Oreochromis niloticus: one gene and its partner. The protein of the gene in region 1 interacts with the protein of each later gene in a pairwise test. Links are inferred from orthologs where the notes say so. Each region holds a gene or a part of one and is shown in the gene's direction. Other genes may lie near its edges. The genes, in order: aldh16a1 and dera.

What was found.
Region 2: the proteins of aldh16a1 (region 1) and dera interact in binary tests that used the Homo sapiens proteins (3 or more experiments, as listed by UniProt). The link is inferred for Oreochromis niloticus from reciprocal best matches to the Homo sapiens genes ALDH16A1 and DERA.

Annotation. Positions count from the first base shown.
Region 1 is NC_031969.2:6,234,382-6,242,647, reverse strand, and holds the start of aldh16a1 (aldehyde dehydrogenase family 16 member A1), read left to right. Parts: upstream 1-5,017; 5' UTR 5,018-5,225; coding exon 5,226-5,315; intron 5,316-6,666; coding exon 6,667-6,766; intron 6,767-6,895; coding exon 6,896-7,022; intron 7,023-7,117; coding exon 7,118-7,275; intron 7,276-7,371; coding exon 7,372-7,449; intron 7,450-8,266. Other genes in the region: histone acetyltransferase KAT7, read right to left, coding at 708-908, 1,884-2,028, 3,569-3,583.
Region 2 is NC_031981.2:586,958-594,696, forward strand, and holds the start of dera (deoxyribose-phosphate aldolase), read left to right. Parts: upstream 1-4,490; 5' UTR 4,491-4,554; coding exon 4,555-4,648; intron 4,649-7,739. UniProt on the Homo sapiens protein: Catalyzes a reversible aldol reaction between acetaldehyde and D-glyceraldehyde 3-phosphate to generate 2-deoxy-D-ribose 5-phosphate. Participates in stress granule (SG) assembly.

The DNA of each region.
Region 1 (8,266 bases):
ACTCATGTCATGTCCATATTTTTTCATTTTTCAGACCTGGGTCACTCCAATATCAAATCATCCATTTTTTAAGAACAGTTTCTGCTCCACCACCACTAATTGGCATCACACGTTTGAATGTCCAGTATATAACGTTTGATATATGAAGCTAAAATAAACAACCTAATAACCTTTTGCAAACCAAATCTGTCTACAGGTACAAATAAAGTAACCTGATCCTGCAGATGATCATCTCCTGCATCCGCTGAAGTTAGATAACGGTTCCTGGTGTCTATGAAGTAATTCATTCGTCTCAGTGACAAAGCACAAGCCCAGGATATCTACTGATAGATATTAGTCATATTATAAGCAGGAACACACTGTGATCACAGACAGGCCTCGTGACATCAGCTGAATGGCATCACGATGTCAAATGGAAAAACAATTCTCCCTCTCCTCTCCGCTGCACCTTCATGTTCTTCCTTCTTTTCTTTTGTCCTCTTGCTTTTCTAACACTCTCGTTCTCAGCCTGTCCTGTTTCTTTCTCTCCCTGAACCCCTCCTTCCAGTTTTTTCTCATTCATGAGAATATTCCCAATCTCTTACTGCAAATTCATCATCTAACTGGCACGAGGGCAATGACCAAGCTCAACTTTTAATGAGAAAAAATGTTTAGAGCATCTCTGAGGAATGAGACAGTTCTGATTTCTAGTATTGTACCAATCATACCGTGAGCCTCTGTATCAGAGCCGGACGACCTGCTCTGCCGTAGTGGGTATTTTTTGGCTGTGGTGTTTGCCGCCCCCTGCTGGCTGCGTGTGACCCTGCGCCCGGAGGAGAAGACTGATGCTGCAACAGCTGTTGGCGCTGACTCTACGGCTGAGTCCAGAGCTTCATCAGGACCCACAGTTACAGGAGAGCTGCAGTTATCTACAAAAGAAAGGGGAAGTGTTGAAGTGTTTTATTTACTGCAGTAAAATGACTTAAGAGGCCTTTCAGTGGACTACTCAACCAACTCATTAATCAACAGAAGAGTGATCACCAGTTACTTCATAATTTGATTTTCAAGCATTAAAATGAAAGGTTCTGCCAAACCATGAAAAAATGCTGTTGGAGCCCTGAGTGGACTCTGCTCCTCTTCCAAGAAGAAACTTGACTGGAAATGACTGATTTCGTAAAATGTGTAAGTAGTTTGTCAGTGGCTGAATCCAAACGAAAAAGTTAAAAGAAAACCGTTCAATCCACTTCATTTTTGCAGATAAACAGTCTCTTTGCTGTTTCTGTGTGCGTGTGCGTGTGTGTGTGTGTGTGTGTGTGGGGGGGGGGGGGGGGGGGGGAATATACAAGGAAAGAGTAGCCAACTCTCCTTGACAAAAAGCAGAGGAAACAGTGTCAGCCTCTGTTTTAAATCTCCTCTGATAGCCAGAGCAAAACGAGGTCACCCGGGGGTGGGAGTGTGCGTGATTGTGTGTGTGTGAGAGATGAGGGAGATCAGTCTGTCTAAAGCCATTCATCCTCTATGGCTGCCCATATACAATAGCTATGTCTAAACCAGTGTAGTGAGGAGGGTTTAAAGTCTCAGGCTGGACTCTGAATGAATGCATCTTTAATTTATATTACTTATAGAGACAAAATTACACAGCATGTAGACATGCTTGGATTCTTATGCTTCCAGAACACCCAAAAGCTACACAGTAACCTAAAGAATGTGAAAAGGATAGATGTAATAAGCTAAAGTTTCTGTCTGCACCTTTATCTCAACAAGTTATGTTTTTTCCATTTCATGCAACTTTTTTTTTTTTTTGGTCAGTTTTTTTTGTGCAAACCTTTGGCTCGAAATTTGTTAACGGTGACTAAAGTGATCTCTCTTCTAATTAGTATTTCTGTCCAAATGTGAATGTTTACCTTGTGAACTTTGGCTGAGTCGCAGAGACGCGCGAGTCAAGCGTGTGCTGCTGCGTCTGTGCACAATCTCAGCAGTTTCAGCATGCTCGACATCAGCGGAGAAGTCCGAGTCCTCCGTCCCGTCCGAGCTGCTGCCAGCGGTCCTCTGGGAAAGCAGCAGTTAGAAGTTAGAAGCAATCTGTTAGAAGCAACAACTATGGACGGCCAACACAACCACATGTGACAAAGTTACTTTTTTTTCTCTTCACCAGAGGATAATCCAACAAAGATCCCATTCTGGGGGAGGAGCATCACCCCCTTCAAATCTCCTCCAGCACTGCACCCCCTCTTCCCACCAAGGACTTGTAAATACTCCAGATAAGCCTAATACCAGTATCACCACGGGAGGTCCGGACAGCTAATCTATTGTACCAAGCACAACCTATAACAACTGGGTTTGTTTAGAAGTCCAGCTGATTTCTTCAAATCAGCACGCTTGCAGGTTAGCTAATAAGCATAATGAATGGACTGTTGTTTTATTCTGACAATTCACACTAGACTAATTAGGCAGTGAGGGCTGTCAATCATTGCACAAACAAAACAAAAAAAACAAAAACAAAAAAAACAAAACAAACAAACAAAAACAAACACAAAAAGTATGAAAACAGGATCAAACAATGTGTACATTTCTCTCTGTTTAATTCATTACAACCATTATTATCGTCACAGTATTTATTTAGTTACATTTCTAACTTATGTTAAATGAAATGTAGAAACAGTGACCACTTTGTTGCATTCAGTTCCCATTCTTTTCTCATTTTTTTTGCTAACTATTTATGAAAACAAATGAACAGTTACAGACTTTGATAAAAATAGAACGGTACAGGCAGATCCAGGCCAATGTGGTTATCCTGCTTTATGGACGTTAGCGTAACATCAATAAAATAATAGTAAAAACATATTATTAGGCTAACTAATTGTCTTTTAATAATAATGTGAATTTATAACAATGTAAGTTGAATCACTTTTTAAAACTCACAGAGCCAAAAAGAAACCCAAAGATCAGAAACAACATCAGTACAGCACGGGCTATTACCGCAAACCATGTTTGACAACTTCATAACAAGAGGCTGCGCGCACAATTTGCATACGACCAATTAAATTAAAAAGGAGGCGGGCGTTAGAAAATGCGAATCAATGAACGCGACGCTTGTCAGGCGTCCGTCCAATCACAGCTGTTGTTTTGGTGCGGGCGCCCGTTCCTCCTCGCACCCAAAGAACTGCCTATTGCTTTTTCATCAGTAAGCTAAAGCTGCTGCTACCTAAAGTGTGTTCGGGATTCCCACTGTACCAATCAGCCGTTACAAATGTGAACAAAGTTACCAGCATGTTTAAAACTCTTCTTTGGGTACCAGAAAGAAGCGACGCTTCAAAAACAACATATTCTTGCAACTCAGCAATATGAGCCTGAGCTAGCTTAGCCATATAGCAGCAGCAGATCGACAGCTCACTTATGCGATTCTATTAGCACTGATATTCTACGAATGCTACAAGCCGTTCACTTCGTCTTGTAGGAACGCGTTTTAGCTTGCAGCCCCCGTAAGTTGCTTCCCACACAGTTTGTTTTCTTTTACCTCTACGTCGGCTAACATTAGCTATGACGTTATGTTGTTGTTTATCTGCATTAATGGTTGAGTCTGCCTCACCTTTCTCCGGGGCATTTTTCAAAGATCTGCCGTAACGCCTCTGGCGGATTATTATCCCGTGCTGTGGCAATTTATGGCAGCCTTTTGAAACTGTAACAACGAAAAAATAACCACCAGCTGACATGAGCCAACCCAGCTGAAAAAAAGCGCATAAAATTCTCCGCACTTCCTAGTGAGGACAGCGCAAACTCGCTCTTTTTGGGCGGTACAGTGACAAAATGACTCCGGGGGGAAACATACACCTTCAAATCACGCTACTATGGTGCATTAAGATTTTTGCAGCCAAAAGTAATGAGTAGTCATGATAAAAGCAATAAACAAATGTAAAAAAATAAAATAAAAAATAGCCGTTTAAAGTAATGGCTGCGCTAGTCAAAACTAATAACGTTGTTATAGGTGTGGACCACTAAAAGCACCAAAACACGATGCGTGTTTAAACCAAATTTGTAGTGTGGCTATAAATCTTTTAACTGGAGGAAGCCTTCAAAACAGCAGACAACACAATTACACATGTACTTTTTTTTTTTTTTAAGTGATTTAAGTTTAAAATTTAACACCATAACGTCCTAAGACTTGTGGTGAGTCACATTTATCATTCAAAATCACGTTTTGTTTTAAAATTAAATTATTTGTTTTATTTAGCTATATGACAGACTGGACAGGTGACCGAATGAATGCGTTACCGGTGTTGTACCAAAAAGTGATCGCCTGGCAAAAAGTGATTCCCAATGTGTGTGTGTGTGTGTGTGTTTTAAATGTGTAATGTCTTTACGTATGTTGGTAAATCGACTTCGGTGAACAGGGTTTACAAAGGGGATAAATATAAAATTTAAAAATTACGTTTGTCAAGTATCTTTATAACTCTGTGTTATTGTAAGCAATCCGGTTCTTTTTGTCCACTTAAAATATGTTTACAGAACTATTGTGATATTTTTTGCAATATCTGCTGTCCTCTTGGGCAGATTAATCTTTTAAAAAAAACAAAAACATTTTTATTGTCAACGAGATTTTTTTTAACTGGATAAATAAAGGATATATAAAAGTCATTGCCAAAAACTGATTACAGCTTCTGCCTTGTTACAAGAATTTTGTTTGTGGCTCAAGATGACTTGATATCAGTCATGAGGGGTACATTTGACATATGTTTCACATAGTACAGACCAACAAGTTATATATAGCAGTTTAAATAGGAGCAATCAGTTTTTGGCAAATACCGGAAATCGGTTTTTGGTAGACGATTATTTTTTGGCACAAAAAAAACGGAAATTAGGTTTTATTTTTGAAATTATGTCACACGCGTTATTACAATAATTTGTATGTGTTATACTAAAAAAAAACTAAAAACTGGTTTGATTGTGCTTTACGAAGTTAAAAAAGTTATTTGCCTTTTCTCAGTCTATCTGCGTTCAGGTGAACGCACACAATAGCGGAAGTCGGGAGGAGTGAATCATCTCGCTCTCACGTATCGATCTGCGCGTGTCCACAGAGCGAGCCCATACACTGTCAGCTCAGGGAGGCTAGCACGTTTCTTTCAGTGTCGGAGTGACACTCGACACCCTTCTGCCAGCTTTCTCTCTTCATATTCTTCCTAACTCCATCCAAGAACGACCACGCACAACGACGGCGAGATTTGCTCCCACAGTGGTTTCTTCTTATTATGGCTGTTAGCAGCACCAAGACAGTGTACGAGATTTTCCAAAGCATGGAGTACGGGCCAGCAGCAACTTCTAGCACTGCTACTGCACAGGTACAGATTACGGTCAGATTCGTAATAGGAGACTGCTTTAAAACTAAACTTCCTAACAGATACTAGCATGCTGTGCTGCGGAGTTAGTGGATACCTATATAGATTATTGGACTCGTGAAGTTCATTAACTGTTAGCCCAGTGTACTTCACAAGACAAACATGTGACATAACTAGACACATAATTACATTATAATGTGTCAAGGGATTACTGTTCATGTAGATTGTTTTTGTTTTTTGTTTTGTTTTTATGTCCGTATCCCACCGTAGTCCGTGAAAAACATTTTAGGGGTTTCCTCTTTTTACGTGAACTTGAAAAGAGTTTAAGAGGAACTTCTGCCAAATACCAAATGTAGAAGATGGGATCTCTCAATCGAGCTTTACCCCTCGTTCATAATGTCAGGTCTGCTAAAACTAAGTAAAATCAGGGATTGACCTCAGGTGGCTACTCCCACCTTCTGTGTACAGTCTATGATTGCTACACGCACATCTGCAAACAACTCTGTTAAAACAGCTGTGTAAAGGCTTTTGTGGTTCTGCAGGGACATTGAAGGTTTATAAAGAGTACTAAATTACTGGATAAGCACTCAAACCACTAACATGGTTTAATTTGACAGCCCACATCATGTAGAGCATGAGAGACCGTAGTACCAGTACCACGACTGAGTTAATACATACTGCTAAAAAATGCCATTGGTGCTTTGCAGAGAGTTGAGCTCTGTACTTTGGTCTTCAGTCTGTAAATAGCTGACACTCTTCACTTGGCCTACCCGCCTTTATCAGTCACTGTCATGTATATTGGTCTCTTCAACCAATAAAAGGTTTGTTGGGTTTTGGGTGCTGCTCATCTGCAGTCCATAATTTCACGAGTGTTCTAATAACAATGTCATCATGTTGTGGATTTTAAATTTTAGAGCGCGATAGACTGTAGTTTTCTTTTCTTATTTTCCAAATAATCCACATCTCTTATATCCAAATGCTTAGATTTGCAAAAGACGTTAGAAGGGCCTCCCCTTCTTTACCTGTAAGACATGAGATAACAGCTGGTCTGAGATGTTCAGTATCCTCATCCTCCTCTGTACTCATACAGGCACGGTTTGATAAAAGTGAAGCAAGATTTTTTTGGCTTTAATTCAAGGACTTTCATAAATCTGCAGTTTTCACAAAATCCAATTACTGTGTACCCATCTGCCAGAATGAAATGCACTTTGGTGGTGGGGTGTAGTTTTGGCTCGGCAGGCAGCTCAGGGTTCTCAAATGATAGTGAGCAAACACGAAAACTGAATCTGTGTGCAAGTGTTGGGCTCTCTGCTCTGGAGCTGATCCTTCGCCTGTTCCCTTTCTTCTTCATCAGGCCTGGCTGGAGCATCATTCCCGTTCTCTGGGTCTCTTCATTGATGGCAAATTTGTCTGTCCAGCGGACGGACGGAGCTGCTCCCTGGCTGATTCTAAAGGTGAGAGCAGCCCGAGTCCACATTTTATCATTTAGCTGATTCTGCAGAAGTTAAAACTTTGGCTTCAGACTTTTCACAAACATCCTAATGATGATGACGGTCACGGTGTTTTGCCTGCCTGCTCTCCAGGAAGTATTGTATGCAGCACAGCATGCGCCGAAGAAGCCGATATTTCCCAGTGTGCCTCCTCTGCTGTTAACGGTTTCAAGTCCTGGAGCAGCCTGAGCTGCAACCAAAGGGCCAAAGTGCTCTTGAGGTCCAACAAACACACCTTCATACACCTCACTGCTTCCTTTTTGAGCCACCAGTTTAACATAAAGATGAATTTCCCTGTCTGTCCTCCTCTAACAGGTTGGTGAGTGTCCTCGGGCAGCACGGCCAGTGTTTCTCAGAGTTATGTGAGCTCTGTGAGGCCTCCTGCTCCACCGCTGCCCTGGTCAGGCTGCTGCAGTTCTACAGCAGCTGGGCGCAGCTCAGAGACACACTCCTCACCGACTGGACACCTCTAGGTAAGTGAATTCAGCTATGTTTACAAAACGCTCTCAGTCTTTGTATTCTGTTGTTTTGTAATTTTATTTTTTTTTTATTTTTTTTTTGTCTTCCAGGTGTGGTGGCAGTGGTGACCTCGAAAGACTGTTCTCTCTATTCTCTTCTGCTCAAAGTCCTGCCAGCACTGGCTATGGGTAAAACACACACACCGATGTTTATAGCTGAACCCTAATCTGACTCCTAACATCAAATCTGAACACTCAGATGTTCTGAACATTTCAAATTATTCTTAATGCCTGAGTTTAAAAGTAAAAATAAGCACTCGAAATTCTTACATGTATGCCTCACATAAACTAAATAAACTGTATACCAGGGCTGTGATACAAAGGATATGATAAAAACTTTACTAAAGTATAATGTTATGGTATTGATAAAAACTAGAAAACATACCAAATATGTTAAACAGAAAAAATAAACAATTTAAATTTTTATTAGCTCAGTTATCAGAGTTGGGTCAGGACTAGAGCTGGGCGATATGGCCAAAACCCCATATCGCGGTAACAATATATATCGCGATATATTATTTTCTTCTGTACAGTATACAGTATGTTCCGCATTGTAAGGCAAACTTAAAATCCTTTAATTTTCTCAAAAATCGACAGTGTTCATTATAATCCGGTGCACCCTATGTATGAATTCTGGTTGTGCTTACTGACCTCGAACCGATTTTATGTGGTACATGGCGCTCAAAAATCTGTCAAAAAATGTTTCATTACGGCTACCGTAGTCAGGAGCCTCGCGGATTAATCTGGGTCCTAAACTCCGTCCTCTACATGTCCCAAAGTCAAACGAACACTGCATCATCACTGAGAGTTAAAAACTGTCTTAACTCTTTAATCTTTAATAAAGTGATCAGCGTTTCTGCTTTATCAGGTGTAACAATCAAGTTTAACATCCAGGCACCCATGAAAACAGAATTGATTAAAACGAAGTTAGCAGGAAGTTAGCTCG
Region 2 (7,739 bases), on another chromosome or scaffold:
CAGCAGGTCATCTAACTGAAAGGTCGGAGGTTTGGGGAACATACTGAATCTTAGACAGGAGGTATTTAGTTGCAGGAAAAAGTGCTTGTGTGAATGGGTGAACGAGGCATGTTGAATAAAGCACTTTGCATGCTCAAGTAGTCATAAAATGCTATAGAAGAACTGAACTGTTATGTCTATAACTTCTGTTCCCTGAAGGAGAGGAACAAACGTGCCCCCATGTGTCCAGGCTGAAGTCTTTAAGGTGATCTGTGATATACTCAGGGGTGCACATAAGTGGTCCGCAGGTGCGCATTCGCTGTCAAAAGACGCGCACCAGATAAGAAGTTGCAGCGCGCGTTTGCTTACATATAAAAGGCACTGTTTTTGTCCGCTCGAGTGGGATTTTCACGGCATATTCTGCACCACATCTCTGTGCGTTCGTCATTTGTTTGAAGCCAGCTCACCTCCTGCAACCACTTTTCCGAGAATACACACTTCTTTTGCGGTTCGGACTCCTGACATTTCTTTGGAGGTGGAGGAACACCAAAGTAATTGCTTAAAGGAGCTTCTTCAACATCTTTAGGAGTTCTAAACAAATGTCTGTCCTCCTCTAGAAAATCTTATGTACGCAAACGCGTGTTGCAACTTCTTATCTGGTGCACGTCTTTTATTTTGACAGCGAATGCGTACCTGCGGACCACTTATGTGCACCCCTGGATATAGGTAAACCTGTGACCTGTGATGACAGATCTGCATGTCATCACAGTCATCCCTCAGTTTGGTAGCTGCTCTTCACCAAGCAGAGCAGGGAAACCTTGTGCTCTACTACATTCCTTTCCTTTAGGGAACAGAAGTTATAGACTTAACTGTTCGATCACTTTCAGTTGATTCACTATATTGTACATCACATATAGTATGGGACATATATAGACCTCCCACAGACCAGACACTGAGGTTGCCATTCTCACATCTTGGGGCAAAGCGAGACCTTTGGTGCTGTAGACGAATGAGCTTCTGTAATCCAGTGGGAGAGTGAGTCTCTGTTTAGACAGAGCTCTACCTCGGGCTGGATTTGCAAGGCAGGTCACACATTGCACATTCTGAGTGTGGTCAATGTAGGTATGTAGCACATGCAACAGACACACACAGTGGAAACTCCTCTGCTCCTCAGATGCAAAAGGAGAAAAGCAAAAGCTCAGAAGCTCAAATTCCACAGAGCTATAAGCTGCAGGAATAACCCTGGGTAAATATTAGAGATGGACCGATCCGATATTACGTATCGGTATCGGTCCGATACTGACCTAAATTACTGGATCGGATATCGGCGAAAAATAAAAAATGTAATCCGATCCATTAAATATCAAAAAAGCATCTCACAAAACTTGCGACACGGCGTAACTCGGCTCATAACCGTAGCACGTCGGAGCAGTGTGCTCACGTGATAGAGCGGCTGTGTGTATTTGTAGCCTCGCTACCAAACCAGCATTTCATCTCTGAGGAAGTTATCCCAGAGAGAAGTAAAGCAAGTGTGTAAGTTCATCTCTGAATGTTTGTAAAGCGTTCCCACGTTAAGCTTAACAACCGATATATGGAGCGACTGCCTCTCTCTCTCCCTCTCCTGCTGCTACTTCAATCATGAAACTGATCAATGATCAGCTGATCGGCTTTTCTGTTGCGACTCCCGTCTCTCTTGTTTGGACCAGAAAGAGGAAACCAGCGGCTGAACAACAGCAGCACGTTTAAGCTTGATAAGCTGTTGTTAGAATGTATTTAATATTACTTTCTACACCAGGATCCTTTTCTACGTAGCTGACGGCTGGTAACTGTGCAGGGGCGGATCTAGCAAAGTTTAGCCAGGGGGGCCGATAGGGCATGAACAGGGAAAAGGGGGGCACAAAGACATACTTTTCTTTCTTATTCTCATTTAAAATGTCTCGCTTTTAATAAATAATTATCTGAATCTTACACCCAAAATTTTAATCTGATGTAAAATGTATAGAAGTCCATTACTATATATAGTAACTCTTAAGTCTATATACCCTAGTAAGCTATAGTACTTTTTCCTTTGGGAAGGTTCCATCTATGAATTCTGCAATTCTGCTGAAGAAAGATGTTGAATCTATTTAATTATTCTTGAAAAATAATTTGTTTCTGTGCATTTTTTTTCACCCTGCATCAAATTAAAGTTGATTACATCGATTAAGCATCATGAGGTGAGAAGCAATGCAGTCTTATATGAAAGAAATGTCATATTCACAGAATCCATGAGTTCAAAGAGCGGGGGCCACAAAGGGCATCCAGCACCAAAGTCAAGGCCCATGAAGGGACGCTGGACCTAGCCCCTTACAAAATATGTATGGCAAGGACATGTGCACCTGGTGTCACCTCATCAAAGCCAATATGACGAGGATATGTAGCTGGTAAGAGAAGGTCTGGCCTCAGGGTCAGATGGCCTGGAGCATGAGCAGCTCTTAGAGGCAGAAAACAAACACTGCACCATAACAACAGGGAGTGAGACAGCTTTAACAGAGGAAAGGAGCGCATCCCTACCTGTTTATGTAAAAAACTGCTGTTGAAGACAACACCATGCAAAACAACACCCTCTCAGTCCAAGACCCTGGTGCAGAAGCCTGGACTCCCTCCAGGGACATCCAAGATCCGGTTACCCTCAGCCTCCCCCTGAGGTGACGCGATGCACACAGGCTGTGAGAGAGTGTCCACCACCATCTTTAACAGTCTGAGTGGCACTAAGCAATCGTTGATGCCATTGTGCCCAGTAACCATAACATTGTTTGGAAATGCCATCTGTGTCCCAGTTGAAACTGAGCGAGGCAGCAATAAAACGCGGCCCCTCTGTGGTCCGACTAATGTGTCCAGTCACAAATCGAAGAAAGAGATCTGGTGACTTGGGGTTAGTGAGCTCTTTTTAAAGTTCACTAAGAAACCCAGTGCCCGAATGTGTAACAGAACCAGCAAATGCAGGAATGCAAACCTCAGAAACTGCCTGGAGCTCAGGTGTCTAGCCATGTTAGATTGTCCTGTGGACCAAACACATTCAAAAGCTGTCTGACTGTTAGAACTGGAATGTTCGTAGATATTTGTTCAAGACTTGCAGGGCCCAAAGAACCTTCAGGATTGACTGTTTGCGGGCCAAAATCACACTTGCATGCCTCTAGTGTTTCCATACAGGCGGCATCTTGAAACTGTCATCACCAGCAAAAGCTTTTGTACGAAGTATTAAATCAATTTCAGTAGGCGTGTTTTAAACTTTTTACAAACGTGTGTCATTTCTCATTATTACACTTAATTTATGGACATCTATTGTTTGATTTCTTTGCATCCGTGGATTGGATGGGTTGTTACCAACCAACTCTGGTGAGAATTTAATATTAATAGCTCCTTTAGTAATATATTTACTTAAAAAACTGGTGATGCATTCAATACTTATTACGGAACAAAAATGAAATATAGTGGGAACACTTGACATGGTCACCTGAACATTTAACACACCTCAATTCCATCCATTCTCACAGCTAGGAGGACTGAGGCTTCTTCGTCCTGGGTGTTGGATCCTGCCAGGGCCCTGAAGGTGGGCCTTTGCTCTAAGCCGACTGGCATAGAACTCGACCTGGAGGCTGCGCTCTTATTGGTGGCGCACCCACAGCGGTGGCAGTGGGTGCCACTCTCTTATAAAATGAATTTAATACATGGAAAAAAATTTGAACAAGTGAAGCATCGTGAATACCTGAATGCACCGTACAAGTACTATATAAAGAAGTCTCGGTCGTTGTGTCCTTGGGCAAGACACTTCACCTACTGCCTACTGGTGTTGGCCAGAGGGGCCGATGGCGCGATATGGCAGCCTCGCCTCTGTCAGTCTGCCCCAGGGCAGCTGTGGCTACAACAGTAGCTTGCTTTCACCGGTGTATGAATGTGAGAGTGAATGAATAGTGGTATTGTAAAGTGCTTTGAGGGGTCCCGAAAAGCGCTATATAAATGCAATCCATTATTATTATTATTATTATTATTATTATTAAATATTCAGACCCTGAGAATCATTTTTTATATTTCCATCTCAATTCAGAATTTGCTTTGGGGGTTTTGAATTAATTTAGTTGTTTGATTTGAATATGTGTGACAAAATTAGGATTTATTTTGTGTATCCCATTCTGCAATTGAAACGTCATTAAAATCCTGCACTACACTGACATCTGGTGGAGGGTCAGGGAAACAGGAAAGGTAAATGAAAACTAGTTCCTGCCAGTGCTGCTTTTATTTTAAAAGTGTGCCTTTTATTTGTGTAGATGCATGTGCAGGTGAATCCTCATGTCGGATGCAATAAAAAAAGAAAGATTAATACCGTATGCCGCATTTCTAACAAGGCCTGGACTGTAAAATATTTATCTACAGAAAAAGCAAAAGCTGTGAGCTTAGTTTGCAGTTCACAGGTCGCTGCGTCATGAAAATACCGGAAGTTTCTTTTGTCACACACAAACTTCTACCCTCGTTGGCGTTTGACTTTCTAACGAAATGGGCGGAGAAGAACACATCCGGGCATTTTGAGCGCACTTCATGCGTATTTTGGGTGCGACTGATGACGAAGTTGACAAACGACAGCGTTCTCTGTCGCTAAACATGTCGCCCAGAAACCCGGGCACGACGCTCGGTAAGTAAACGCACGTACGGAGAGAATGTCCGCAGTAATAGTGCTCTCACGTTACCGTGACCCAATAACACGATTTGATTTTGTAACCAAGGAATATTAACTTCGTCGTGTTGCTTTGCGCAGGATTTCACGCTGAAACTTTGAATGTACGATGCAAAGTTACGACAGGTGAAGTCAGTGAAGCAGTTAGAGGTAACTGACCCTGAGAGCATGGATGTTACTGCACACTAACAAACGGAACCGGAACAGCGCAAAGGGAACGTTTTAATCCTGCTTTCCGACGTGTAACTAGGTTTTACTGACCAGTCATGTGACTGCTGGGTCTACTGTGTAATTGAATGCTCATGAGGTCTGATTAAGACTAAACACAGCACTGCAGTCTGCTGACAGTTTGTTTCGGACAAGAAAAAAGCACGTGGGTTTACCTCGTGACACTACAAAATTTAAAGAATGACAAAGTTGATTTATATTCTATATTTCGACAAATGTTCTGCTGTTATTATTCTTCCCACTCACTCTTCTGTGATTTGACGATGGTCACCTCAACATCTACACAGTACACTTTAAGTTACCTGAACTCAGAGTGGATGTTTGTCAGTCCAACCAGAGTCACCTGTGAGACACCTGCACCTGTACTCTAGTGTACTTGTAAGGGATTAGCACAGAGGTCGTATCTGGTGTATGAACATGAAAAAGCTGAAATCAGGTCAGAATGAATCCAGACGTGTCACAGGTTAACCTGGCTGTCACATTAACAGTTTGTGTGTTTTCTAACATTTGTTGAGCTGATGGAAAAGTTGCATCTGAAATTATGTGACACAAAAAACACATTACTCTTTATGCTCGCTGCTCTTCTGTAGTGCGACATGCTAAAGTAACATGAGGACAGCTTATAGACACCTGTACTCATTCTGGTGTTGAACCAGAAACACAAGCAGCCTACTTTAACACCTGACTATGGTGCTAGGGCTGCTCGATTATGGCAAAAATGATAATCACGATTATTTTCACTGAAATTGAGATCTCGATTATTTGACGATATTTATTTAACAATAACAATTATTCAACAATATTGAATAATGGCTTTAAAGATTGTCAAAAAATAATATAAAATAGTTTGCAAATACTGATAACAGTGCAAATGTTTGCAATATACAAAATAAATGAAAAATGTAAACATCTATGTTTAGTGAACTTCAAAATACTGCATAATATTTATGCATACAAATAACCAAACCTCAAGGCAAGCTGTGTAGCCGCACAATTGCATCAAACTGACACTGAGGTATGTCAATTTGTAGTGTCGGTCTGTGGTGCAGCTACAACACCGTAGCAAAGTTTACACATGTCTACTTGATCCACGTCTGACTCCGCGAACCCATAATGTTTCCACACCACTGAAGTTGTTTTATCTCTCTTTTCAACCAACGGCATTCTTTCTTTAGCAGCCATTATCCTCTCCTCTCCTCTCTAAATAACTTCTACTTAGCTTTCCGAGCTAAGTAGAAGTTAGCTCGGAAAGCTAACTTCTAGCTTTCCGAGAAGCTAGAAGCTTTATTGTTGTGATGCGTGTTCGAAACGCAGAGAGGTGCGCTCAATTTGCCACACGGAGCACCGCGAAAGTAAAGCACGAGGGAGGTGCTAATAATCGGCTCAGTCATTCTTAATGATCGTTGAAAGCCCAGATCGTAATCGAGATTAAAATTCGATTAATTGAGCAGCCCTATATGGTGCTATACATTACGCATACATTTCATTGTCTTGCCTCTTTCATCTCTTTGTATTTGATAGGCCCTTGTGACTGACAGACCATTTACTGCAGGGCTCGCAAAATTTCAAAATCCCTGGTAGCCCTTCGGGCAGGCACTCTTCAGTTTTTGGTAGCCCAAAATAAATTTAAGTAGCCCGAATAAAAAAGAGAGCAATTTTTTAATGTTTTGTTTCCTTTACAATATTATACATTAAAGTATAATATTGTAACGGAAACAAAAATTAATCAGAAAATTGTTAAATACAAATCACAACAACTGTATAAAAATTACAATCATCAACTCAAATACTTGTTTCTAATTGAACAGAAATTTCTATGAACTTGTAAGAACTGTAGAACATGAATCAGTCTGTGTCAGATCCTCAATCTGAAATTTCCACTGAAGTCAAGGGTAAGGGGTAAGTGGAACCAAGATCGAGGCCATTTGCTTTTTGAAGTTTGCAAAACTGCTAAATTTGGCCAATGGTAGTTCACTCTTTGCAACATAGTACGCTTTTGAAAGATTTTTCAGGACTTCTGCTTGTGCTTGGTTTATTTTTAGTATGTTTTTTGCAATTGCTGTTTGTTCTGGGAAAGATATTGCAGACTGGGTGTTACGGCCCTAGCTGGGCCTCCTGAAACTGCCCTTGTGTGGGCGTGGTGTTTTTCTCCGCCTCCTCCTCTCTTGCCACTCCTACCCCCTCTGTTTCTCTCACTCTCCTCTCTCCCCAGGACACAGCTGCTTTTGATTAGCCTCGTTTGCAGTATAATGCATTTCTTGCATTTCTCATGGGTTCTGATGGGGTCTTTCTTAAAATTACTGGTCCCAGTAACAAAGGCGCTTGTCGACTCAAATGAAATGAAACTCACGACACACCTGGCAGAACATCATGTTATTTAGCTCGTCATATTCCAGCCACATAAATTCTTTTGTCCATGAAACCAAAAAAGCTGAGCTTTCTTTTTGCCTCATAGTCTGATTTGTCATAACTTTTCCGTTTTGTGGTCGGCTTTTCATTGGCTGCCCCTTCTTCACCCTGACCTGTCTTATTTGGCTCAGCAGAACTAAAATACCGGCGTAAATCCTGCTGCTTTTACACACGTACTTACATAACGGTCAGCAATTCTCTGTGCAGTCAACCTCTCACGTGTTTAAGCTTGCTGTGGGAGATTTCACTTGTCACGTTTGAATAGTGCTGCCGCTCTCTACACACCGTTCGCATCGCAAAGTGAAAGCAAAAAACAAGCGCAAATTCAAACGCGATTTCAATATGTCACATATTGGCAGTGGCTCATCGATGCCAATAACATAATTACTCAGCTACATTTGCGAAAGAAAAT